Xenopus tropicalis: one gene and its partners. The protein of the gene in region 4 interacts with the protein of the main gene of each other region in a pairwise test. Links are inferred from orthologs where the notes say so. Each region holds a gene or a part of one and is shown on either strand. Other genes may lie near its edges.

Region 1 (3,500 bases), on a different chromosome or scaffold from region 4:
AGTTTAACAAAAGAGGTGGAAGGAGAAATATCATGCAAATTCTATAAATGCAATGAAAGTGCATTAACAGGTGCAGCACTTCCACTGAAATGCAGTCTATCTGACTTGCCACACTCATTCATTTTCTCAGTATTCCCCACTGGAAAACAGGCTCTGTCAAACATTTCAACATAAAGCGAATGATTTGCTTACTTTTACTTGTACTGAGCATTACTTTTATCTGTACATGTTCCGTTTCACATAACATGGCCTTTGGCTTTATGGAAGGCAGCCAAGAGAATTTCTGAGCATTTAATGATTATTTCCTCTATGTGACTAACGCACACCATGTCTTTCTTATAGCCCAAGGCAATAGCTGAGACACAGGGTCTCGTTTCCACAGCATAAACATTCTACTGAGGGATTTGCCATTCCATTGGTTACAACTGTGATTGAGATATTTTATGGAATGTCAACGAGCAATTCATATACCCTAATATACCACTCAAAAGGCTGCTCTTTTTTAACCAAATTTCATAAATATAATATAATGTGTCTCCCATATTCTCTTCCAACATTCCTTCCTGTACCACTCTAAGCCCATCTTCCTGTATTAGTAGAGGAAGTATTTTTAAATACTTAAAATAACTTCCTCAGTGTTTTCATTCCTTTCTCTAATGTTGAAAACATATGTACTGCATATCATAAATGAAAATTTTGAAAGGATATTAATATTCTTAGCTGCATGTGAATCAATACTTACGTAGCTCGCAGAATGTTCCTCTCCATCCTGCTGCGCACGTGCAAGCCCCGCTCACATGGTCGCAAACCGCACCATTATCACACTGACATGGGTGCCTGCAGTCTGAGCCATACCAGCCCTCGGCACATTCTATGGCGAAGATAGCATATATATGGTCAGACTAAACTGGTTAATATGCACTAATGAGAAAAGATAATACCTTATGAACTCAACAGATAACTATTCCAAGATGATAAGAAGCTAGGGGAGTCATTTTTCACAATGGCTTACTGCAGACTATTCCATTAATAAAACTTTGTAATAGTAAGAACCTTTTGTTTGCAGATCTTTGGACACCCTGATATTGTTTTTAATTTTTTGCACTGCCTTACACCCCCCCCCCAATCCTGTTGCAACCTGCTGGTATGGTTAAATACATTTCCTACATCTTTTTAAGTTCTTCCAATGATAGGTAACTTTCCATGTTATCCCTCTGATTAGCTGCTCAGTTACATAGCTACATGTAAAGTGACAGATATAATATGCAACTGTCTAGTAATAACCAGTAGTAAACAGGCTGATAGGTCTATGCAGTTAGAATAATTGCCACCAAAGTGTGATTGGCAACTATGGGTTAATGCATAGGTCTATATTTTTACCATATTACTACATAACTCTCTTATCCTAGGGGCTCATTTATTAACACCTGTCAAATTTGACCGTGGCAGTAACCCATAGCAACCAATCAGTGAATGTATTTTTTCAGCCAGCTGCAGGCAGAACAACAATTTGACTGGATGCCAGGGGTTATTGCCCACAGGCAAATTTTCTCAGCATTGATAAATGACCCCCTAGGTCTCTAAGTCTATTTTAAGCTTTCACTTTTAATTGCTTTCTATTTGTAAGAATACAACAGCATGAAATACACAGTGTTATCTCACAAGCGGATGGCTAACTTACTTTGATCACAATTCAGCCCTATGTATCCTGATTCACAGACACACTGTCCAGTCACTGAATCACAGCTTCCATCACTGTTGCTACAGTTACAGGGGTTGAGGCAATCTGTTCCCCAGTGCCCTGAATCACATGCTGGATTGGGGGGAAAAAAGACAATGAAATCTATATTGAGTGCTTCTCAGCCTTAGTTAAAACAAAATGGCATTTAATTTCATAAATCATCTCTCCTTTAACCTCAAAATTTGAAAAATTTCCTAATCTAATGGTTTTGTTAAACTAACAGCAGGTAAATTCTCTGGAGTGTGAAAAAGGTCACAGCTTCTTGAAAGAGTGGCCCACACAATGAATTTTAAACCAGAAGGAAGCAAAAGGTATATTTGTGAGACAAAAAAAGAACCAATACAAGAAAGCGGGGCTGGAACTAGGGGTAAGCAATAGAAGCATGTGCATAGTACTCACTTTGGGGTGGTGCAACTATTATGGCAGTGACATGTGGGCAGGCTAGCCTTGGAAGCCAACTACTTGGCTCAGCTTTTTAAAAAAAGGGTCAATGAATGCGCATTTGCTTCTCAGAGAGCCAAGGTTTCCTGTAGACCAGGGCATTTCTATATTATTTACAGCTCAAATTTATAATACAATTTTTCTATCACACCTTAGAGCCTGCCACTCCCTGTGCTGTATGGTGCTTTGGAGATCATATAGACCAATATTGGTGGCAATTTTACCTCTTCTGCAGTTATGGCCTGTCCAGCCAGGCGGACATGTGCATCTTCCTGAGACTGGGTCACATTGGCCATTGTTCTGACAGGCACATCTCATCTGGCACCCCTGGCCATGCCAACCAGCAGGACAAACTAAAGGAAAGCAAAAACACTTACTGAACACTGAATTACTTATGCTTTATTTATTATCTATTAACAATCCATAACACAATATATATATATACTTTCATAACCAGATACCCCTGCTGGCAAACCAACTGGGTGCCTACAAACAAGGCTTTTGTATCTTTATGGATAAGCACAATCATCAGGGTTTCACAAATATATATATATTTAATATATACAGTATTTTATTTTCTGTTTGTTTTCTTTCCATAAAGGTTTTGTAAAGGTACTTTTACTACCCACAGGGCTCCTATTATGTTTATAATAATAACAATAATAATCCCTGAAACAAACCAGAGACAAATTTACTGGATATCTGGACACGTGCCACTGTGATAACCATGTAGTACTTACTTTCTTTGCAGAGGCTGCCAGTGTACCCCGGCGTGCATGTACATTCTCCAGTCGCTGGGTTACAAGTGCCGTTGTTTTCACACATGGGACAGATCTCTTGGCAGCCAGCTCCCCAGTGTCCTACAGGGCAATCTGTGGCAGACATGGAAGAATTGAAACTGTTTACATGTGCAGATCACAATTCAACTTGTGAATTCTTCACTAGGATTATTTACGGCGAACAGCATGCTGGAACAGCAGGCTCTGATATGCTGCCTGTAAGTAGCAGAAGTATGTGGATTTACAGAATATAAAATCAAATGATAATACAGTATCTGAATCTGAAAAAGGGGCTATTGTTTAAACATTCTGCACATTGTCCCACAGCGCAGGGGTTAAAGAGCGATCTACAATAACCATACTCCTGTGACACTCAGCTGATACTTCCTACAATATATGTAAGCTCTCTATCATTGTACCACAGGGGATAATTGTAATGTCTGAAATCATGTCTGAAACCTGGAGATCCGCATCATCTCCTGTGCAAATTAAACTAAAGGGGATTAAATCTTTGATTGATTATCCACATATTTGTTATT
Region 2 (3,500 bases), on a different chromosome or scaffold from region 4:
TGGCAGAGGAAAACAGGCACAACAAATCTTTTGACAGAGAACTCAGTGCAGCGTTTCTGTGAGTGCTTATGGCTGTATTTACATAGACCTTTCTGATAAAGCTTAGTTTTTACCTTTCTTTCTTCTTTAAAGGTGACCCACCCCTTTAACATATTATAGAAGGAACAAACAAACCTGCATCCAGAAAAAGAGCCTCTTGGAGCCGGCCTTGAACTTGAGCACATACACGCGCCCCGTGGTGCACTGCGACACTCTCTTGAACTCACAGTCGTCTGGAAAGATGATCAGATCCTGTAAAAGACAAACACAAGGGGAGAGGGTGAGCTAAACGCGGTCAATACGGTTAAGTGAAGTATCGGCTGCACAGAATGGCCTCGGTTTGTATACAATGGCTGCTTTCTAAAGGCCACTGGCTGTGCGCAGCGAGAGCTTTCCCACGGTCTCTGGCTAAAAGCAGTCTCGGCACTTTAATTGCCCAGGTCTGAGAGTGCCTTCACCTGGCTTGAAGCCTTTTGTGTGCAGGACTATTGACTCCGACGGATTGCTGGCCTGGTGCATTATGGGAATGTTGCCTTAGCGCTCTAAAAAGAGGAATGGAGAGAGCTAGCACCGTCCTCACTAACTATACACATTCAAATTATAGCCATCTACACTCCTATCTTGAAGTTGTATGAAATGGAGTGAGAACACGGAGGTAACGTGCAACTGAAGTAAAATTATACAGAAAAAAAGGAGAGAAATACAAGGAGACACCCAAACAGGTGGTCCCTGTCTAGACTTCAGAATTGTTGCACCGGTAACCCCAAAGAAAGAGAAAAGAGGCAATTCACTTGATCAGGTGTTGTAGGACATTAAAACTTGGTAAAAATTAAAAAGGTGAAGTATATCTTAGAATAATCCCCATTAAAAATCGCCTGGGGTGATATTCAATTAAAGTACAAACTATGAGGTATTATAACCTGCCTCATTCAATTCACTAAATTGTTACAGCTTAAAAAATAAACTATTGTATCAAACACTCTCCACTCTTGCACGTTACCATTTCATACAACTTCAAGATAGGAGTGTAGATGGCTATGGTTTGAATGTGTATAGTTAGTGAGGACGGTGCTAGCTCTCTCCATTCCTATATTATCATTTTTTACCAGGGTATGGGCTTGTAGGGGGGGTGCAGCGGGTGTTGATGCGGGACTCTGGGAAGGGTGGGCTGATTTGTTTGCACGACTGATGTGCATTTTATAAGCGGAGGTGCCTCAATGTAAAAAACGGGGTTCGGCTGCAACATTGAGCTACCTGTACTCAATCTATGGTGGGGTGGTGGGCACAGAAAATGGCTGAATTCCAGCCTATAGCTGAAAGAGTTCTGTACTTTAACACAGCTATGACGGGGTCTGAATCCCCTACCCCAGCGTTTTTCAACCGCTGTTCCGCGGCACACTAGTGTTGCCTGGTGTGCCGTAGGCAGGGCCGCAATTTTTACTTTCAAAGGGGGCCCGGCGATGCTACAGTTTTTCTTAGTAGCTCGGGCCCCCTTTAATAAAATCCGGGCCCTGTCATTGGTTGCGCCCCGTGTGTACGGGTGACGTCAGTACGCACGGGGCGCACCGTTATAAAAGGGCCTGTGTGCGGTCGCGTGTAGGCAGAAGTGCAGAGTTGGCGCGCGTGAGGGGAAGATGCTGCTGAAGCCGCCGAAGAGCAGAAGTAAAATGCTGCTGGGCACCAATGTATTAGGGGGGGCCACGGGGCACACTGACTTATGGGGGCACTGCTGCTGGGCACCAATGTACTAGGGGGGCTGGCTCTTGGCACCAATGTACTGGGGGGCACTGCTGCTGGGCACCAATGTACTAGGGGGGCACTGCTCTTGGCACCAATGTACTAGGGGGCACTGCTGCTGGGCACCAATGTAGTAGGGGGGCACTGCTCTTGGCACCAATGTACTAGGGGGGCACTGCTGCTGGGCACCAATGTATTAGGGGGGCACTGCTCTTGGCACCAATGTACTAGGGGGGCACTGCTGCTGGGCACCAATGTACTAGGGGGGCACTGCTCTTGGCACCAATGTACTAGGGGGGCACTGCTGCTGGGCACCAGTGTATTAGGGGGGCACTGCTCTTGGCACCAATGTACTAGGGGGGCACTGCTGCTGGGCACCAATGTACTAGGGGGGCACTGCTGCTGGGCACCAATGTACTAGGGGGGCACTGCTCTTGGCACCAATGTACTAGGGGGGCACTGCTGCTGGGCACCAGTGTACTAGGGGGCACTGCTGCTGGGCACCAGTGTACTAGGGGGGCACTGCTGCTGGGCACCAATGTACTAGGGGGGCACTGCTGCTGGGCACCAATGTACTAGGGGGGCATTGCTCTTGGCACCAATGTACTAGGGGGGCACTGCTGCTGGGCACCAGTGTACTAGGGGGGCACTGCTGCTGGGCACAGAGTTAAATTTTTTAATATTTTCTAATGGTGGTGTGCCTCGTGATTTTTTTCATGAAACAAGTGTGCCTTTGCCCAAAAAAGGTTGAAAAACACTGCCCTACCCTGTCCCAGCAGTTAATATAGCTCATAAGGAAACTGGACTCGACTTCTCCTTGTTTGGCAACAATTTTGCAACAATTGTTGCCGGCGTTTTTTTTTTGCAATCTCTCCTTGGCTGCCTCTATAGGGCTGTGGGTTTGTGGAGAGTGTTTGATACAATAGTTATTTTTTAAGCTGTAACAATTTAGTGAATTGAATGAGGCAGGTTAACTCTGAGCAGCCTTATAATACCTCATAGTTTGTACTTTAAAAGGAGACATATTGGATAAATGGGGAAAAAAAAAGGTAATTTTGTAGGCAATTATGAATAATATCCGGTGCTGGTTTCCCTTTGGGCTAAACATTAACCCTATCTGTAACAATGGCCCCTTTATTGGAGCTCCCTATAGATCCTCTCACTTCTCTGTCCGAGTTTGAAATGAAGAGTGGGCGTGGCCTAACGGTCCCTGCCAGAAGCACAGTAGGAGGGGGAGAGCCAATCACAGCCCTGCAGTCACACAAGCAAAGACAGGCTTCAGTTCCCTATCAGGTCAGCCTAGCTGCTGATTTGTTCCTATCCTACAGTGCAGGGTACTGAGTGCCGCCGGCTCCCCAGCTCATCCAGAGAATTCAGCCAGCAGGAAGTGGAACAGATGGGCGGGGCTAGTGGGGTTTTGGGGGAATTTCTCAATAAATCAGTCAGAAACACAACCCTTCTATATCTAGAGGAGTATAATTCCCTGGTACATTCATCATTTTTATAGGATATGTCTCCTTTAATTGAATATTATTCTAAGATATACTTCACCTTTTTAATTTTTACCAATAAAGGTTAAGTTTTAATGTCCTACAACACCTGATCAAGTGAATTACCTCTTTTCTCTTTCTTTGGGGTTAACGGTGCAACAATTCTGAAGTCTAGACAGGGACCACCTGTTTGGGTGTCTCCTTGTATTTCTCTCTTTTCTTTCGCTCTAAAAA
Region 3 (3,196 bases), on a different chromosome or scaffold from region 4:
CATACCACCCAAATGTGCACTAACCTATATCATTCTGTAGTAAGTGCATTTGCTTTTGCAGTCCCTGCTTTAGTGAGGCTACTGGTGCCTTTTCTTACTGTTATCTGATCTATCTCTACGCACCTGGTTATTGATATTTGGAAAACATTTTAGGAACCATGTGGTGCTTGTTCCCCTGGTGACTGGACTTTCATTGAAGTACTGGAGGTATTAATACTAAGTAGAGATAAATACAGTGACTCCTGAAGTGATGCAGATACAGTAATTATACTCTAATAGAGGGACTACAAGACCTGAAATACTGAGAAACATCCTGTGAGGCACCAGTGAATAAGAAAGTCCAGGTAGAACAGGTGTCCTGTATGGCCAGGAAGCTGCCCACTTCACTTTACAGTGAAGAAGAGATCTCTAGACCACTATGTTTTCTGAAGATGGGGAAGTTGTATTACTATAATATTTATTGTATTACTTAATATTTGCTGCTGTTCCTTTAGAATGAAGCACGTTTGAAGCACAGCTGTTATTCTAGGGATAACATAGCTGTGTTAAACCATAGCTCTCAGGGAGGCAGGGGATACTGGAATTGTATTGGTAGCAGCTACAAAAGCCATTGGCCAGTGCATATTTTTACATTAGTATGATTTTTTAGCCTGACCTTTCTTGTGATAGACAATAAAAATGTTTTTTTTTTTTTTTTTTTTTACCGCAAGTAAATGTGATTTCTTTAGACTCTGCAGGCCCATTGGGTCTCTGCAGCTTTTCACACCGAGAGCTGTCTGAGTTAGAAGCATGGGCTGGCATATTAGGCGCACTGCTGAAAATGTCATCTTTCCAAGCATCAAAGCAATCACTTTCTGTGTGGGTGCACGGAAAGGAACACAGATGGCAAGTGGGTGGAAGGGTAGAGGAAGGAATGTGCAGAAAGGAGGCTTTGTAACGATTTGCTTTCTCTTGTCTGTGTAGGTATCATTCCATGGAATGCTTTACCTGGAAAAGCATGTGGGCAAGCTTTGGAACAAATCTGCAATAGCAATGAGGTATTTTTATCTCAAGAAAATTCCTATGCATGGAAATTGTGATTATATGCCCCAGTGAAAAGTAAATACGATAGTTGTCCACTCCCATCCTCTTTTCTTTCTTCAAATACTTTTCCTTAGCGTGCATTATCTAATGGCTGCTGTAGTTCTAAATACCAAAGAGAACTTCTTTTTATATTACTGTTTTGTGGGGAAACATTTTGTCCCATATAGAGCTGGTGCAAAAAATACTATCTAACTTTTGAATACATGCTGAATAAGAGCAGTTATTTTCTGCTTAAGTCCACATATGCTGGTCCTTTAAAGAACCTACATGCCAGTAGGCTTTCCCTACAGTTTATAAGATCACCTAAAACCTATGATATCCCCTAGAATGGTTGGGTAACTCTAAGACTATTTTACACTGATCGTAAAGCCATAATAAGCGGAGCTATAAAAATGCATACAGAAAAAACCCTACCAATGTCAGTGATGTAGTGCTACATTAGTTTGTCAGTCAATGTCACTACAGATGTTGCAGAACCCTAACATCTGAGTTTTGCAGGAAAAATGGGCAGTGACGGCATGGAAAGGGGTTAGTTAGGGGCAAGTTAGGGCATGGTGAATGTGTCATGTAGAACTTTAGCTTTCAGAATCTGTCCTGTCTAAGCTGGGACCAGATGGTGGCACCTTTTCTTCTACATGAGTTTATGCCTGTTGCAGTCCATTCTTTAATAATACCTAATTGTCCTTTCTGTTTGATTATTCATTCCTTTAGTTCTACATGTCCTATCACCTCTTTATTGTGGCTTGTGCTGGAGCTGGGGCAACTGTCATTGCCTTGGTAAGTATCATCCTTGTCTGACTTTCTTAGGCTAGTAAGGTAATAGCTATTCCAGCAAATCAGAATTTCACCTCCCTTCCAAAAGTGATTTTATCTTAAGCATGAGAAGCATTTTAACTCTTTGCTTTTTGTAAAAGTGCTTGCCCAAATTCCTTTTTGCTGGGTGAAAATAGAAATGCATCAAATTCTCCGCTGCAACTAGTGCAGATCCTGTTTCCAGTCACATAATAATGGCAATGTTGCTCAGCTGGATCTCAAGCTATGGCATCCAACCCCTTACAGTATCTGTTGCACACAGGTGGTTTAGAAGAACAGCTATTTCAGTAATATGCCAAGGATGTGGAAATGTAGCTAGCAAATTGTGGCTTGGAAAACTAGATTTAAGAAAATAGGAATATAATGTGGGAGTATAATGTCTTTGTAGTACAGCATGTTGTCATACCACTCTCTATTGAGCTACTGTAACCTTTATAGCGCTGTGTCTTTTTCTTGACTGTGTGGGCATATTCCCACCTATGTACTTTTTGTTACTCCCTACCATTATGTGCAGCTTCCCAGTATAAGAAAATCAGGCCATGTACAAACAGTGGTAATTTAACTGTAGAATGGGAATAACTTTAAGAACTTCCCAAATAGGGTATATTCTTTAACACCAGTCCTAAAAGCATCACTTAAAGGTAAAATGTGCCCCTCTTTTTATTACATATTACTTATTAACATAAGTTAATTCAGTTTGGCTTATGTAGAAAAGGTGCATAAATACTATTTGAAAGTCAACCAAAAATATACGAGTGTACATTTTTACACAGACATATTTGATTCCACAGACTAAAAGGAAACCATTATACTTTTAAGAACCATTTCCTGCCCCTTAGACTCACAGTGTAATGCAGCTCCTCCTTTACCTTGTTCCATTGTGAGGTGATTGATTCTGAGACTTGAAGTCCCTCTGCTTTCCGTAGCAGGTGGAGCACATATTTTGTGGAAAGGGAATTCACATCCCAGAATAAATCATTTCACAATGGAACAAAGTAAGGGTGGGGTTGCAATCTACTGTAGACCTAAGGGGGTGTTACAAAATGGTCCTTAAGAGTATCCTGGTTTCTTTTCAACCTGTGGATTTGGGTTTGCCTGTGTAAATACAATTTCAGTGACATAAATGTATTTATACATGAAATTGTAAACATGTATTTTTTTTGCCAGTTTATATAGAGTTTATAAAAAATTTTGTTACATAAGCCCAGCAGAATGATATAAAAATAAAAACGTAACTATTAAACTGTATGCTTAACTGGGAAGTTATTAAAATGCAAATATAGAAATAATTGAGGGGGTT
Region 4 (3,500 bases):
CTTTTTGTTTAAATTAATTAAATAAATCAAATAATTTAGAACTGTGTACCTATGAATTCCTTGTGGGAAATGACACAATTCACACAGGGAAATCAAAAAGATATTAACACAACTTGCATACAGTTTGCCAGTGCACCTAGGGTATCTGTGTTTTATTCTTATATACACAGGCTAGTACTTATCACTGCGTGAATAATCTGACATATTGTGCTATGATCATGAAGATAAATTCCTGTAGTAGTCCCTGCTTCTCATTAGGACATATTAAACAGAGGGTGATTAATGCCTTTGCCAGCATTCAGCCTTTTGTGTACATTTATATGAACACGGACACACACAAAAAAAGAGATCAAATGAATACCCAATACTGCCAGTATGAAACCTCTATATAAATCCCATCACAATCTTATACAGCCAATGAGCTACATTATTCTTGGTTTAATTCTGAAAATATACAACATAAAATAATATCTCACATCTTTAATAAATGTTTTGATGTTTTTGATCCCATATAAAATAAGTGATGCATTAAAAGGTATTTCCTAAATGCATATATCCTTAGAACTTACTATTGTGCTAGTTGGTAAAGTACTAACCACACCATATAGCAGCTTTTCCATCATTTTAAGACATGTAACCAACAGATTATTTAAGTTTAACCAATATGTTTGTACTGGGAATGAGTGATGATGTGCCCAGGTTTACTTTTTTGATTTAATAAACATGATCACATCAATACTGGGGGATTTTTCTATTAAAGCCTTAAAATACTAACATGGTTAAAGTGCAGACAAGAAATATTGCCTTTTATTATGTATAGTCTGAGAGTTGGATATAATCTGGTTTCATTACATATTAGCAGTTAGGCCAAGCTGGGCACGGTTCTGTAAAACAAAATTGTTACTAGATGTTTTGCATAATGAAACAAAACATAATTTAAATTTCCAGTAATCATGATTTAAAAAAATTTCTGTAGATTTAGGCCATGGCACAACTGGTGTATTCTCCGGCCAATGGAGAACATCTTGATCATGGTTGTGCAGCCTGCCATTTACTTAACTGTCCATTTTTCGTCCAAAATCTGCTGCTGACAGGTGCAATCATTGTAAGCAATGACAGACTGCATGACCATATTCTGCTGCTTAGAAGAAAGGCCATTTATTTGTGAAGACAATTGCTACTGCAAGCAGTATCTGTCTTGTTGTTTACATTCTCTGCTTGTTTTGACTCCTGAAAAAATATATCTGAAGCCAAGTGATTAACAGATCTGAAGAGCTAAGTGTACATACAGAGAACAGATAAACAAACACTGCTTTCAATTGCAGTTACATTTGCAAATAACTTTGAAACCACTGATATTTATTCATTAATGTATATTAGAAAGCTGCTTATGCATTTTGCCACTATGCAAAACACAGATTCTGAGTGGACATTTTAATGATTCTGGACACTTATAATGACTCTGTACAAACTCAAACAGACATCTGAAAAACATACATGCATCTTGACGAAGCAAGGCCAAGGTTCCCCAAATGGCAGTGGCTGATGAGGGTCTTATAATTCTTCAACAGCTGAAGGAATGTGGATTAACCAGAGATAAAGCCAAGCTTATTATTTTCTTTGCGTATAACAGACAATATCTAGTATTTTCATATGTCCAATGATCAAATTTCCAAGTTTCTGTCTGTTATCGTCTGAAATGTCATTGGAAATTTTCAGATATCACAATTGTTCTTCCAAGTGTTGCCACCAAAACATGCTCCTCTGTGTGCTGACAGTTTTGCTATTAAAAATGAATCTTGCCAAAATGTGATCCAATACTCACAAAAAGGTGCTATAATTGCTATACGTTATAAAAAAAAAAAAAAAAAAAAAAAAGAAATTGAATGTTTTTTGGTACAGAATAAAAAAAAATATTTATATTTATATATAATTTCTATATAAAAGGTTTGCTGAAGCAACACTGAAGAAAACATTTGCCACTTCCAAGTTACTGTTCCACTATTTATCCATAATGTGCCTCCAATGTCCTGGCCCAAGTATACAAGTACTGTACATAAGTCAGTGGGTTCTAGTGCTATTCACATACTTGCAAAGGCCAAAGAAACCCATCTGAGTTCCCAAACAAGAGGGTGACAGTAATGTTATCTGTCCTTGTGGTCATGCTGAAGCTTCAATATAATCGCTCACAGGTGCCAACCCCAAGTATTCAGGGTTTTGCGCTGCAGGAATTTTAAAATGTCCATTGGTTTTAGGTTCTTTTGGAAAGAAGTCCTGTTGATAGTCAGGGTTATCCAGGTTAATCTGAAGGTTAGCCTTTTGGTCCCAGATGGAGGAATAGTCAAAGTCAGTTTTGGGTACAAGGGTATGGCCTGTGTTCAGATACTCTGGGTTATTAAGGCCATTGCTGTGAGAATTCTGGTAAAGGTTCTCTTTAGGAGACACAGTATTCCCCAGTGGAACCAAATTTTGATATACTGCATTTGTCTGTGTCTCCACAATTGGTTTTGGAACCATCTGATTCACATATTCTGAAAAAGATTGAAAACATATAAAATTATTTCCATTAGAATTGGTTTATTGTTCCTTTGAAAAAGATTCTCTTGTACCTGTAGCCACAGGTATGAAAGCCTGCGTCAGTATTAACCCCCACCAATCCAAAGAAGACAATAATCAAAAATAACAATAAAAATATATAATTTGACACTGTTCATTATTATACTTACAGCAGGAATGTTAATTTGGGAATACCCAAAATTGCTGTACAAAACATACCCTTAATAATATGACATTTATAAGTAATAATCTTAATAATAAGATTATAATATAATAATATTTTTGATCTCTAGGACCTAAAAAATAAATGTCCTACTGGGCTGACCACACATCATGACAGCACATAGTCCAGCCTTAAAGATTTGTTAGACTGTTGTAAGTAAAAGCATGAGGCTGTTGCCATACAGAGATGCAGAGGTTCAGTTTCCCTATGAGCACTCAGAAAATGACCCTGATGTGAACACATAAAGGCTGAAATGTTTTTCTCTATTCTGTAATAAATACCAACCTGGCACAGGCAGGAACTCATCATCAATGCTGTCTTCCAAAATGACTGTTGGATCTGTGCTGTATCTTTGTACAAAGCTGTCTTCTCTAACAGGTGGTCCCTACAGAACATTTTAAAATAGGAGAAAAGAAATACTGATATATTTCTCTATGAATATTAGATATTAACCATTGTCATCATAATGGCCTTATAAACAGCAGTTCTTAAAATGTCTATATAATACATTATTTCCTAGTTATTATTGCAGTTATGGCTAAACTGTATCACTTCCAACAACAGTATTTTGTGTGGGTCATTCAGTTCTTCTGTGGTTGAAAGGAACAATTCAGTGTAAAAAATAGATAGACTGCGCAAAATAAAAAATGTTTTCAATATAGTTAGTGGCCAGATGTCTAACATAATAGCCAGATCACTACTTCCTCCTGTACAGCTCTCT
Region 5 (4,159 bases), on a different chromosome or scaffold from region 4:
TTAATTACTTCTTTTTACGTACTATTACCCACTACCTTTCCCCCAATTTCTTCTCATATAGATTTGTGCAATAGCCATAGGATAGGTATACAAAGCAGATGGTTGGGTGAGCAAGAGGGACCCATTCACTTCTGGGCCCACCGGGAGTTTTCCTGGTATACTGGTGGGCCAGTCCGACGCTGACTGTAAATCCCAGTGCAGTTATACCTACCTACTGTATTTATACATCATACAACATAAAAACAAAATTAAGCCGCTTTCCCATATACAAACCAAAGCAGTATTTGAAACAATGCAGCCCATGTACCCACTGGCCTTCCCTGCAGGAGTGCTACATCCGCTCCAGAGTCAGAACCAGGGGTGCAGAAACCACCACACACTGCTTTCAATGGCAAATAACTTTTAAAACTATTAGCCATTTTGTTAATGAAAGTATTGCTTAGAATGGCAGTGGCTTTCAATGAGGCAGACTGATGTTTGGCTTTATATCCCCTTTAAAATAAAGAATTGCCCCCCCCCCCCCCCCCTGCCCCCTGTGGAAATGCGGAGGGATCAGTGTTGCATGTATGTGTGTGATCTGTTACAGATATTGTGTATTGTGTGAGATCCCTGCCTTTCTCTCTCTCTCTCACAGACACACACAGACACACTCACACACAGACACACACTCACACTCTGACGTCTTTTGTGCATTTCCTGCATTACAAGGAGAGGGGAGGAGAGCTGGGGTGTTGCTAATCAGCGGTGGAGGCAGCAGTGGCAGCGGCGGTACAAGGCATCCAAGCGGGGAGCTACCCAGAGCCGTCTCCCTGCAGCCGAAGCCCAGCCCGGAGCAGCGGAGAGGTCCCCGGGGCATGTGGGTGAGGAGGATCCCGATTGGGCTGCGGCTGTGAGAGCGAACTGCCCGGCTGGGGCTGCTTGTGGGGGAGAAGGTTGTACTAAGACTCCCAGGGAGGCAGGGGGGGGGGTGCGGCTGCTCACAGGCAGCATTTTGGCAGGAAAGCCCGGATTGCACCAACACCTCCGAGCCCCCCTCCCCATGGATGAGCCGATACGGTAGGTAGGAGAGCAGCCGGCCGGGATTAGTGCTGGATTTGCACCCCCCCTTGTTTTCCCGTTAGCGAAGCCCATGTATCCAGCGGCTGCCGCAGCGCTGCGAGTGGAATAAGGGGGCAGCGGATCGTTCTATTCCCGCACCCCCCCCCCCCCCAGCGGGCTGCCCATAGGGACATGCAGAGGTGTAACTTGGATTGACTGCGCCCACGTCTTGCCCAGTCTGTGGCCATTGAACCTTAGGGCCACATAGGCGCAAGCCCTAGCGCTAATGCCCCTTTTCATTTACTCCTCTCCATCTTAATGCATAGGAAGCCACTAGCTGTGGCCCTTACACTTGTCTGCCAGTCTGTGCCCTAATTGCCCTAGTTACACCTCTGCTGGGAGGCAACCCCATCCCCAGACACCTTGGCCCACCATGGTTGTATTTAATGGTTTGCTGAAAATTCGGATTTGTGAGGCGACCAACCTGAAGCCCACCGCCTGGTCCCTGAGACATGCCGTGGGCCCCCGACCCCAGACCTTTCTGCTGGACCCCTACATTGCTGTCAATGTGGACGACTCCAGGATAGGACAGACCTCCACCAAGCAAAAGTCCAACAACCCCACCTGGCACGATGACTTCTCTACGGACGTCTCCAACGGCAAGAAGATCGAGCTGGCGGTCTTCCATGATTCCCCCATAGGGTACGACGATTTTGTAGCCAACTGCACCATCCAGTTTGAGGATCTACTGCAAAATGGGAGCCGACACTTCGAGGACTGGGTAAGTGATGGCTTTCACCCATCCATCCATAATCTCATTTGCTGCACTCTATAGACCTGCTCTATAGCTGTTCCAGAGCATGTAGTATTTCTATACAGTTTAAGGGTGAAGGCACACAGGGCTGCTTAGTAGCAGCTACTTGTCACGGCTACTAAACTCCAGAAAATACCCTGCCATAGACAATACTGAGAATTGCCTCTGCTAAAACCCTTGTAGAGACAGTTATCAGTAAATGATTAATATTGTCTATTTTAGTAGCTGTGACAAGTAGCTCCGTGCATCTTTAACCTAAAGAGTTTTGGGGTTCAGCTTAAAAAAGCAACTGGAGGGCCGTAGCTCAGACACCACAGGTACAGAACTTTATTAGGGGTGCTGAGTTATAGGGCATATGTGTATTATAGGGCTAGGGTAGCATTAAGGCTACTTTGTGACAGTGGTTAACAAAAAAAAAAAGGGAAAATGGAATCCCTTCCCTGCAAATCCGGCAATTGCCCCCTACTCTGCCTATTGTTGTACTACCGGAGCGTGGAGGAAATCCTCTAATAAGGAATGACAGGGCTTTTCCTTCGGCACACTCTGCTTGTGGGCCGGTGGCAGAGGGCACTAAATCCCCGTGCCTTGCATGCAGCACTTGTCTTTGTACCCAGGAGGTGCCAGTGTTTGCTTGGGCATCTAGCAAAGGGCCATTTGGCAGAAACTCTCTACTGAAATATAAATGGCTGTTTGAGTTAGTGCTGGGCGCCCTGGCAGTGGCTTTGCTGGCCTAGTGGGCAGGGGGGCACATTGAGTACCAATCAATGAACATTGAAATCACAGCAGTGTAAAAAGCATCTGGTAATCACAACCTATAGCCTACACTACAGTATATGTGACTGTGGCACGTAGATTATTTAGGGGGAACAACAGCACATGTAGCAGGGCAAGAAATACCCTCTGGGAAGGAGCCACAAGTCATCAGTACCTGTAGCATTGTAGTGAATATACCCTGGGAAAGGACCACAAGTCATTAGTACCTGTAGCATTGTAGTGAATATACCCTTGGAAAGGACCACAAGTCATTAGTACCTGTAGCATTGTAGTGAATATACCCTGGGAAAGGGCCACAAGTCATTAGTACCTGTAGCATTGTAGTGAATATGTTTCAGATGTTTCAGGTTACCATGTTGGTTAACCACGGAGCTTGCACCCAACATACGTTATGGCAGTGCAACTGCTCTGTGGGTGTCAGAAGCAACACTGTGCGTCATTTCAGTCAAGTACAAACCAAACTGTCATGGGGCATCTGAATATACCCTGGGAAAGGGCCACAAGTCATCAGTACCTGTAGCATTGTAGTGAATATACCCTGGGAAAGGGCCACAAGTCATTAGTACCTGTAGCATTGTAGTGAATATACCCTGGGAAAGGGCCACAAGTCATTAGTACCTGTAGCATTGTAGTGAATATACCCTGGGAAAGGGCCACAAGTCATCAGTACCTGTAGCATTGTAGTGAATATACCCTGGGAAAGGGCCACAAGTCATTAGTACCTGTAGCATTGTAGTGAATATACCCTGGGAAAGGGCCACAAGTCATTAGTACCTGTAGCATTGTAGTGAATATACCCTGGGAAAGGGCCACAAGTCATCAGTACCTGTAGCATTGTAGTGAATATACCCTGGGAAAGGGCCACAAGTCATTAGTACCTGTAGCATTGTAGTGAATATACCCTGGGAAAGGGCCACAAGTCATTAGTACCTGTAGCATTGTAGTGAATATACCCTGGGAAAGGGCCACAAGTCATTAGTACCTGTAGCATTGTAGTGAATATACCCTGGGAAAGGGCCACAAGTCATCAGTACCTGTAGCATTGTAGTGAATATACCCTGGTAAAGGGCCACAAGTCATTAGTACCTGTAGCATTGTAGTGAAAATACCCTGGGAAAGGGCCACAAGTCATTAGTACCTGTAGCATTGTAGTGAAAATACCCTGGGAAAGGGCCACAAGTTAGCAGCACCCAAACTAATGCTGTCAATATCCCATGGGAAAGGGCCCCAAATCAGCTGCACCTCACAATACATACCATCAATACCCTCTGGGAAGGGGCAAGCAATCAGCAGCACTTTGCAGCATTGCAGTAAATATACTCTGTGAAGGGGCCACAGATTAGGAGCAGCCACAGTTAAAGCAGAGAATGCCTGCCTTCTGATTAGGGATGCTGAATGAGGGAGTACAAAGTGGGTCGGATTGGGCTCAGAACACTTTATATAGGGGTTGTCCATCGTTTCATCAGGGAGTTGTAGGTTAGAACTGACTGTAAGATGTGGGGCAGCTCAGGTCTGGCTGTGGGCTCTGCTGCC
Region 6 (4,226 bases), on a different chromosome or scaffold from region 4:
TCAAGACATTTAATATTATGTATGCAAACCCATAATTAAATGCACCATCATGCATTTTATTCTACATTTAGTTTACAATACATAACACAGTACACCATGCCCTAAAATTCTTACTGATGTTGTGGCATTTAGTTTTTTGTCCAGCCTATTTTTTTTCATAAAAAATTATATATTTTTACTTGAAGTAGCCTACCTGTCTATAAAACAGCAGTTAGGTACCTTGTGTGTATTTTTCTGGACCCATTCAAAGTTTACAGTTTTCAGGTCAAAATCCCTACCCATGTGAACAATGACATGCTTAGTCAGCAAAAAGGAGCTGGCGGAGATACACCATGTGACATTAGCCAAAGCCAATAGCTAGGAATATGTGCCAGCGAAGAAATGCCTCAAACTGTCCGTACCTCCTTCCCATTGGTCACAAAGCAGGTGGTTAAAAGTACATAGAAGATGATTATACCTGCTGTGACATTAACTTATGGCAGGGATTCCCAACCTTTTTTTACTGTGAAACACATTAAAATGTAAAAAAAAGTTGGGGAGCAACACAAGCATGAAAAATGTACCTGGGGGTGCCAAATAAGGGCTGTTATTGGATCTTTGGTAGCCCCTATGTGGACTGGCAGACTGCAGAAGGCTCTGTTTGGCGGTTCACATGCAAAAAAAACTTGCCTTCCAAGCCATTGGCTTATGGAGTACAAAATGGCAACACACTTACCCCACAATATTGGTCATCGTTGAAGATTTGAGGTGGAAATGCATTGGGGTTCCCACACATCTGCCTCATTTCTGTTCTGATATTGTTATCCGCAGAGATATCCACTGTCTCATATTTAATGCATTTGCTATCCAGGATACGAGTGATTTCACTTTGTTTAGACTTTATCTAAAAATTAAGCATATATAGATACATTAGTAGTAGTAAAATTATGGCAAGTGTTTACAACATAATTGGGCACAGATGTTCATAATAGGAAGTGAGAAAAAAAAATTCAGTCACAGGAAAAAAACCCAGTTTGTGATTATTTAAGGAAGTTCTTTACAAAGGCCAACAGGCTAAAAAGTATTGTGTGTCTTCTGCATTTTCAGGGATTGCCCCACTTCCTTTTTTATAATTTATTTAGTGCACAGACACTAGGGCTGGCCTGAATGCTGAAGTACATTCTGTAAGCTGGTAGGCGGTCAGTGTATATCCTGCAAAAAAGTAAGGTATCTCTGCTAATATCAACTGCTGCACCAAACACTCTGCCAGTAGGAGATGCCCAATTATTAGCAAATATATTTCACTCACTCTTCAAAAGTGCTATTCTGCATAACATAGTAATGTAGTATTGCTTGCTTGGACTGTTTCCCACAGACTGCACAAAGTTCAAACGCAGCACTGCAGTATGCTGTTTGAGAAAGGAATTATGCAAAGACACCGTGGTATTTAGAAACAAGGCTATGCTAATGCTCATTTTTTATTTTCTTTCAGAGAGGGCAATACATATTTTCATGTGGCATATTCAACAGTAAAAAAAGACACTGAAAAAAAAAAAAAAAAAGATATATTTAGATGCAGTTTAGAATTAGAGCCGAGGGCGTGTATAAACCAAGAACAGCTCAATATGAAAGGTGTGTTCGTATAAAGATTTCACAAGCGCTGGCAAGCAGCAAGAAAACGCCCATGCACTGAGACTATATGGACACATAGAGCACTGTGGAAGGTAAAATAGAAGACGTACACTAGAGGAAATATGTGTTTGTTTTGTATAATACAGGGGTCCTAAACTTTTTTAACCTGTGAGTGACATTCAGATATAAAAAAAAATTTGGAGAGTCACACAGGCATGCAAAATGTTCATGGGGGTGTTCTAGCTAAGAATTAACAAAAAAAAATAAGCACTTGCTTTGAGGCCCCTGGGAGCAACATCCATCGGACTGGTGAGCAGCATGTAGCTCGCGAACCACTGGTTGGGGATCACTGGTATAAAGGATACACATATTGTTGAAAAACTAGTCTATATTATCGAGGTGCTGAGTTAAGCTTATGTTGAAATGAACATGCAGTTATAGAAAATAATACCTTCTACTACCAGTTACTAATGTTGTCAATTTTCAACAGAGGAGTTAAGAGCACTTCCCATAAATAATACGTACATGTCACAATGTAGCAATTAGTGTTTCTAAATCAGTATTTGTGGCTGCTAACAAGAAAGGATGACAATGTGTAAGAGACAGACTAGGGGGACCTCTGATTGGATGGCAATCAGTAGTCTTTCATCATACCCTTTTTTGATCCCTGCAATATAAGACACAAAAGCTGAATTTCCCTGCATTTTATCTATGCAAGTATATCAAAATGATTTGAATGAAAGCGATACAACACAAATGCAGTAGCTGCAGTTTGTTGCTGGCTGTGTCCCAAGATAAGTTTGCATTGTGCATTGCATCAACCAATGTGCCAGACATATATTTAAATGCAAATGCCACAGGGAGTGCTTCACAACTACAGGAAGTTGTAAATAAACGCAATTAAAAATCCTCGGCCATTTCTAAAGCCAACATTTCCCTCGGTGGAATAAGGTACTGATTCTGGCATTTCTAAATAAGGGCGGGGAAGCAAGCCCTCCCAACCAATATAGAGGCAGACGCAGTATTTGTAACGCAAGTTGCACACACAATCCATCGTAGCGCCACTTTTGTCAATGCATGTTATCATGAAATCTCACCTCCCGGGATCCGGTTACCGACGTGTAATACACTTTCACCACCATCCTTAGCTCCAGCCGTGATATTACTCTGCAGCAGTACTTCCGGCCTCTCCCACCATGTGATAGGCAGGGGACCAATCACAAAAACATACTTTGCGCTTATCTACAATTGCCTAAGCCTATCCAGAAACGCTTTTGTGTAGTGTATCTTCCTTATACCTAGCGGCTAATGTTCGTATACGGAACTTATATATTTCCCGTCTGTATGTATATGCTTATATTTTTAGGCGCCATCTGCTTTTGTTTAGTAAACGTTATACCACTATCCCTTATTTACCTATAGGCATACGCTTTAGTTTTGTGGGAAGATGTGTCCAACTTACAACTTCTATTGCAATGAGTTAAACAAGGCTTAGTGGTCTCTACTCTCAAGGACAATTATTGCTTACATTATTGCTTATTAGTTGGGTTGTCTTACTGTGAATCAATGTGAAACAAAATCAAGGTAGATATTTGTAAATAATAACAGAATTAAAAAGTTTATGTAGAAATAAACTGTCTCTCATCATTAGAAAGACAAGTGCTAATAATTTTTTTTGCATTGGCTCATCAATGGCTGAGCCTGGACGTTGCTAGAGTAAATTTCCCCTTGCAACCAGGCAGCCATCTTCATTTTAAACTAGGGAGTTGCTTTAGGGCTTTTACACCTGGATGTTTTTATGTGTTTTATGTGGCATTGGCATTCATGTTTTAAAAATGCATTAAAAAAAAAAAAAATGAAAAACACCCACCACCAATCATAAACGAAGACCATCTGCAAATTGCCTCATGTTACTTTAAAGGTGAATTATCCCTTTACACATGGTAAAGAGGGGCAGGGGTATTTTGGTTTTCAATATTTTCTACCACCTGTGTTGAAACCCTCGCTGGACCACAACTTCCAACATTTTAGCTTGCTATTATGTTAGGGATTCTCGTGGTATAGCAACATCTAGGGTTCCAAGGTTATATCTATAACAGAAGCAGGCCCAGTGATGGTTAAGGGCTATTAATATATAGGGGTCCCATTGAAACACTGACTGCTAAGCAGTTTCAATATATACATACTTATAAGGTATTTTGTCCAAATATGCGGTGTTCTTCTTTGAGCTGTAAGTTAAACATGGAGATGTTGTAAATTTGACACATGAGGTGTTTTTGTAATTGGTTCTGGAATATAGTGTGAGATTTTCATCGTCTACAGGCATCCGTTATAGGAGAATATGATGTGATGTGTGTGTTGGCCTTCCTGCCTCTCCAGTAATGCAACCACCAGAGAATATGATCTACCAGCAGATATTCAGATGGTTGATAGAAGATCTTAGGTTCAGAGCATTGTCCACAACTAACTTCATTAGATTATTGGCCAGGTTGCTTTGGTTACATCTGTTATTACATTTTTAATAAACAAATTGTTTTATTTATATTTTTACAATACCCATATTTAGATGTGGAAGATCTTTATGTTATAGCGTCACTTTAAAATACACACAAATA
Region 7 (4,032 bases), on a different chromosome or scaffold from region 4:
ACAATGCAATAAGCTATGTAACAACAATTTGTTTTATATACATAATATTTGAATCCTCTCAAATAACACTTCACAAGCAAATTTAGAGATGCATAATGACTGCACCTGGCACAGGCAACCCCTGGCATATCTGCCTTGCACATTACAACCACATCCCACCTATTTGTTGCCTATACAGTATGCACTATGCAGAACTGGACACAGTAGACACATATTTTTGTGTTCTCTTTGCTTATAAGGCACAAATCCCAGGAAAACATGGTGAAAAGTGCAAAAAAGTTTGCATCTGTTTTTTCGCACTTTGCAACTTTCCCTGTTATTGTGCATTAAAGGAGAAGGAAAGTCATTTTGGCATTTTACTGCCAATAGATTTGCCACATTAGTGCCACCTAGAACACTATATTTATTCTGCAAAATCCATTACTAAACCTGAGTAAACAGCTTTAGAAGCTTTCTTCGTTTGCTTAAGATAGCAGCTGCCATTTTAAGTAGCTTCTTTCCTGCATCTCTAGCTCAGATCACACATTCCTAATGGAGGGGGGAGGGAGTTCTTAGCATTCTAGTGGAAGGGGGAGCAAGAGAGGGGAGCGAGGAGAGAACTGTGCAGACTCTTGCCACGGGAATTAAGGATCTTTCTGAGAGAGGAAGTCAAACACTAGAACATCATGTTTATAAAAAAGAAAATCCTGTGTTTCTTTTGATAGAGTGCAGTATTACTGTAAGTGCTTATGACTGTATTTACATAGACCTTTCTGATAAAGCTTAGTTTTTACCTTTCCTTCTCCTTTAAGTCTAATATCTTAAAGCTATCTTTTACAATTAAGATAATAAATCTGCACCAGCCATCCAAAAATGATTCATCAAAATAAATGTGATGCAGAACAAATTACAGGATAAAGTACCTGTAAAGTACCTGTAAAGTATGCCCCATTTTTCAATATGAGTTGAAGGAATAGGGCTTGTCCTGAACACACTTTTTGCATTCTGTTTTAATCATAAAAAAAAAATGTTTTTTGTAACTTCATAAGCTAAACAAGGAAACTGAAGCTGACCCATGTTTGGTCCTTGTGAAGTAGATAATCCTTCTACATAATGGACAAACAAAAAAACCATCACAACAAAGGGAGCCGGTAGGGGATGCAATACTGATAAAATAATTATCTACCTTACAAAGACCAAACATGGAGTAACTATTATTTCCCTGTTTGTCCTGTATAGCTCAGGAAATAATAAAAAACATAACATTTTTCGTAACTGAAGCAAAAGGCATTTGATATATTCAGCACAAGGCTAAAATACAGACTGGATGGCATCTAGTGTTATCCAAGTTATAAGCCATCTAGTCACTGTACCGCACATTTTGAGACTCCATTATGTACCACCAGTCCTTTCTGTGATGAATGGTGGTTATTTGCAGGCAGGGTATTAGCATATTAGCATTAATTATTTGAAGCCCTGCAAAGGAAGAGAAGAGCTGTATGCGCAGCAGAGCGCACAGTTACAGGAAGCCCAGAGGATGCTCTGTGTGTGTGCACCTGTTAGATGAGAACCACAGGAAGCAAGCTCTGAGAAAACTGCATGCACAGCATGGACAGGGTTGGTGGGGGAGAGGCACAAAAAAGGCACAGGGTTTCACTGTTAGAATGGAGGTACGAGATGAAGCCTGGCATTGTTTAGCTGACTCCAAGATACACAGATGATGGTGTTGCTGGGTCAGCAATTAAACAGCCCTCTTTATGTTTGCAAACATTATAAGATGTGAAACAATTTCCAGTAAACCAATTTACCACTTAACCTACTATCCCCCATGTGAAAATGACATTATTTAAAGAAAGGCCAAACTGGTTTTAAATAAGAGATACTGTCAATACTACATTTAAAACTATGATACATAGTATTATACAGAGCACAGAGAAGCTATCTGTGCCTCTTACTTACCTCAGTGTCCTAGAACCACTTTCCATTTGAACTTCTGCACTCCCAAAGAGGGAGTCAGTGATAGCATATGCACTACGAGACAGCAATATCAATTTGAATTAAGAATATATCCCTATACATCAAAAGGGTACCTAGTGTCATATGTTCCACTCACCAAGAAAGCAAGTGCAAGGCAAGTACAGAGCTAGAACTGCAACACTGCTGGAGGTGAAACTAGAGTTAGACATGACCTGTGTGAGCATGAGGCGCAGACTTTCAAGCATTTTGGGTGCAGTTTAGGGAAGGATTGGTGAAGGATTAAGCTGCATTCTCCCTGGTATGCGGTATACCCACCATAACAAAATATTTTTTCATTATTTTATTTTAGTTTTAATGTTTTTTCAACATGCAAGTAATACAGCATGCAATTACCCATAGAAGAATAAGACAGATTAAAATGATGAAGCAGCAATACATTACATATCCAAATTTCTGAGGCCTATCCAAATGTACATAGCAAATGGTTCAATGTAAATAGTTTGAGGTTAATTATCCAGAAAGCCATTATCCCTAAAGTTTTGATAAATACAGCATTACCATATGTACTATTCAAACAAATTCACTTTTCTTATACAGGCTAGTAGCATCCCAAATTCTTCTAGAAACCCTAGTAACATTTTACATTCCCCTTTACCTTAAAAACTTCACCGTAGCTTCCACTGCCAAGTCTCTGGATTAGCTCAAAATCATCCTGAGGATCCCTGTCCGATATATCTAAAGTTAAACGGCCCTGGACATCCATCTTGCAGGCAGCCAGGGTGCAAGTGAATGAGCACAGGAAGACTGCACAGGCTGCAGCCTTCACATTGATTGGTGTTGATAAATGTTGTAGCTTCCTGACAGGCTGAACACTTTACACTTGATGTGTGTGAGCATCCGGTCCCCTGCTCCTTTTCACACACACATAGGCTACTGCTCCTTGCCTTAGTCACATATCCTGGTGACTGCCACGCCCTGTCACAAACATTATATCGCCCCTATCCTCCAGTTCTTTTGGGAAAAGCAGCAGAAAGTACAGCTACACTAATAAATTATCCACCACTAACCAGGTCACTTCTAATAAAATCTATTTACTTCAAGGTGGTTAATATTTAGCTATAAAAGCCCGAACATACAGCTTCAGTGTTGCTATCTCCCACCCAACCATCAAGCTGGCCTCCAGCACACCAAGAAGGGCAGGAGGGGGAGAATTTGCTATTGGGCTCTCCACTCAAAAAGAAAAGTTATAAATTTTCAACTTGCCTTACCACTGAAACAGAGGTGCTTTAAGCAAGGCAAAGACCCCAGGTCCCCATCACTGTGTTAGAACTTATACAGGATCACAGCCATTACTCATCCTCTCTCCTGATTACAATGCTGACCTTTCTTGTTTCTTTTCTTAGAGAGGCGGACTGAACCAGAACTACATTATGGTGCGTGAGAGACACTGCTTTTGGTACTCTGTTACAGCTGTTATGGGTGCAAGTGCTGGAGCATTAAAGGGGACCTGTCACCCAGACATTCCAAATTAAACACTAAACCCATTTTTTTTTTTTTTTTAAATTAAAACATCAAATACCTGTTATAAAGTTATTTGAAAATCTAAGTTGTCAACCATATATTGCCTGCCCCACCTCTATACCCCAGGCATTGAGGCAGGCAGTTACTTTCACTTTCCATTCTAGATATAACTGCACTCCTCACATTCCCCCACTCTACTCATGGTCTATAATTGTGTATCGTCTGTATGTTCATGGGGATCAGTTCCCCCATTTTGGTGTATAAAAAACATTTTGGGATGATGCAAAGCTTGTCTTAATAACAGTGCCCACAAAATGACACCTGCCTGCTTTGCTGTAATTGTGAATTCCAAGACTGAAGGAAACGAGGTTTATAAAATTTAAATAGTCATAGTACAATTTATTTTGCCTGACTAAGGGGAGAAAACCTTCTGTAGCATTCAAACAATGCTTTGAACCTTGCTCAGATTAAATATCTGCCACAAGGTGTAAAAAGCAGGCGGTAATTATAGGACTCTCCCATTCCAGGGGTCGCCCACTTGTGGGTCACCTTTTA

Evidence for each region.
Region 1: the proteins of egfr (region 4) and megf6 interact in a protein complementation assay, tested with the Homo sapiens proteins (2 studies listed by BioGRID and IntAct). The link is inferred for Xenopus tropicalis from reciprocal best matches to the Homo sapiens genes EGFR and MEGF6.
Region 2: the proteins of egfr (region 4) and adrm1 interact in a protein complementation assay, tested with the Homo sapiens proteins (2 studies listed by BioGRID and IntAct). The link is inferred for Xenopus tropicalis from reciprocal best matches to the Homo sapiens genes EGFR and ADRM1.
Region 3: the proteins of egfr (region 4) and gpm6b interact in a protein complementation assay, tested with the Homo sapiens proteins (2 studies listed by BioGRID and IntAct). The link is inferred for Xenopus tropicalis from reciprocal best matches to the Homo sapiens genes EGFR and GPM6B.
Region 5: the proteins of egfr (region 4) and prkce interact in a protein complementation assay, tested with the Homo sapiens proteins (3 studies listed by BioGRID and IntAct, with this or other methods). The link is inferred for Xenopus tropicalis from reciprocal best matches to the Homo sapiens genes EGFR and PRKCE.
Region 6: the proteins of egfr (region 4) and sh3bgrl3 interact in a protein complementation assay, tested with the Homo sapiens proteins (2 studies listed by IntAct). The link is inferred for Xenopus tropicalis from reciprocal best matches to the Homo sapiens genes EGFR and SH3BGRL3.
Region 7: the proteins of egfr (region 4) and map4k1 interact in a protein complementation assay, tested with the Homo sapiens proteins (3 studies listed by BioGRID and IntAct, with this or other methods). The link is inferred for Xenopus tropicalis from reciprocal best matches to the Homo sapiens genes EGFR and MAP4K1.

Annotation. Positions count from the first base shown.
Region 1 is NC_030683.2:101,692,163-101,695,662, reverse strand, and holds part of megf6 (multiple epidermal growth factor-like domains protein 6), read right to left. Parts: intron 3,055-3,500; coding exon 2,923-3,054; intron 2,536-2,922; coding exon 2,407-2,535; intron 1,814-2,406; coding exon 1,682-1,813; intron 872-1,681; coding exon 743-871; intron 1-742.
Region 2 is NC_030686.2:4,561,431-4,564,930, reverse strand, and holds part of adrm1 (proteasomal ubiquitin receptor ADRM1), read right to left. Parts: intron 292-3,500; coding exon 175-291; intron 1-174. UniProt on the Homo sapiens protein: Component of the 26S proteasome, a multiprotein complex involved in the ATP-dependent degradation of ubiquitinated proteins.
Region 3 is NC_030678.2:105,717,909-105,721,104, forward strand, and holds part of gpm6b (neuronal membrane glycoprotein M6-b), read left to right. Parts: intron 1-963; coding exon 964-1,037; intron 1,038-1,794; coding exon 1,795-1,860; intron 1,861-3,196. UniProt on the Homo sapiens protein: May be involved in neural development. Involved in regulation of osteoblast function and bone formation. Involved in matrix vesicle release by osteoblasts; this function seems to involve maintenance of the actin cytoskeleton.
Region 4 is NC_030682.2:56,891,676-56,895,175, reverse strand, and holds the end of egfr (epidermal growth factor receptor), read right to left. Parts: intron 3,165-3,500; coding exon 3,065-3,164; intron 2,532-3,064; coding exon 2,161-2,531; 3' UTR 119-2,160; downstream 1-118. UniProt on the Homo sapiens protein: Receptor tyrosine kinase binding ligands of the EGF family and activating several signaling cascades to convert extracellular cues into appropriate cellular responses.
Region 5 is NC_030681.2:19,558,191-19,562,349, forward strand, and holds the start of prkce (protein kinase C epsilon type), read left to right. Parts: upstream 1-1,359; 5' UTR 1,360-1,471; coding exon 1,472-1,819; intron 1,820-4,159.
Region 6 is NC_030678.2:77,348,180-77,352,405, reverse strand, and holds the start of sh3bgrl3 (SH3 domain-binding glutamic acid-rich-like protein 3), read right to left. Parts: upstream 2,801-4,226; 5' UTR 2,754-2,800; coding exon 2,709-2,753; intron 884-2,708; coding exon 716-883; intron 1-715. UniProt on the Homo sapiens protein: Could act as a modulator of glutaredoxin biological activity. May play a role in cytoskeleton organization.
Region 7 is NC_030684.2:80,455,411-80,459,442, forward strand, and holds the start of map4k1 (mitogen-activated protein kinase kinase kinase kinase 1), read right to left. Parts: upstream 2,801-4,032; 5' UTR 2,720-2,800; coding exon 2,612-2,719; intron 1-2,611. UniProt on the Homo sapiens protein: Serine/threonine-protein kinase, which plays a role in the response to environmental stress. Appears to act upstream of the JUN N-terminal pathway.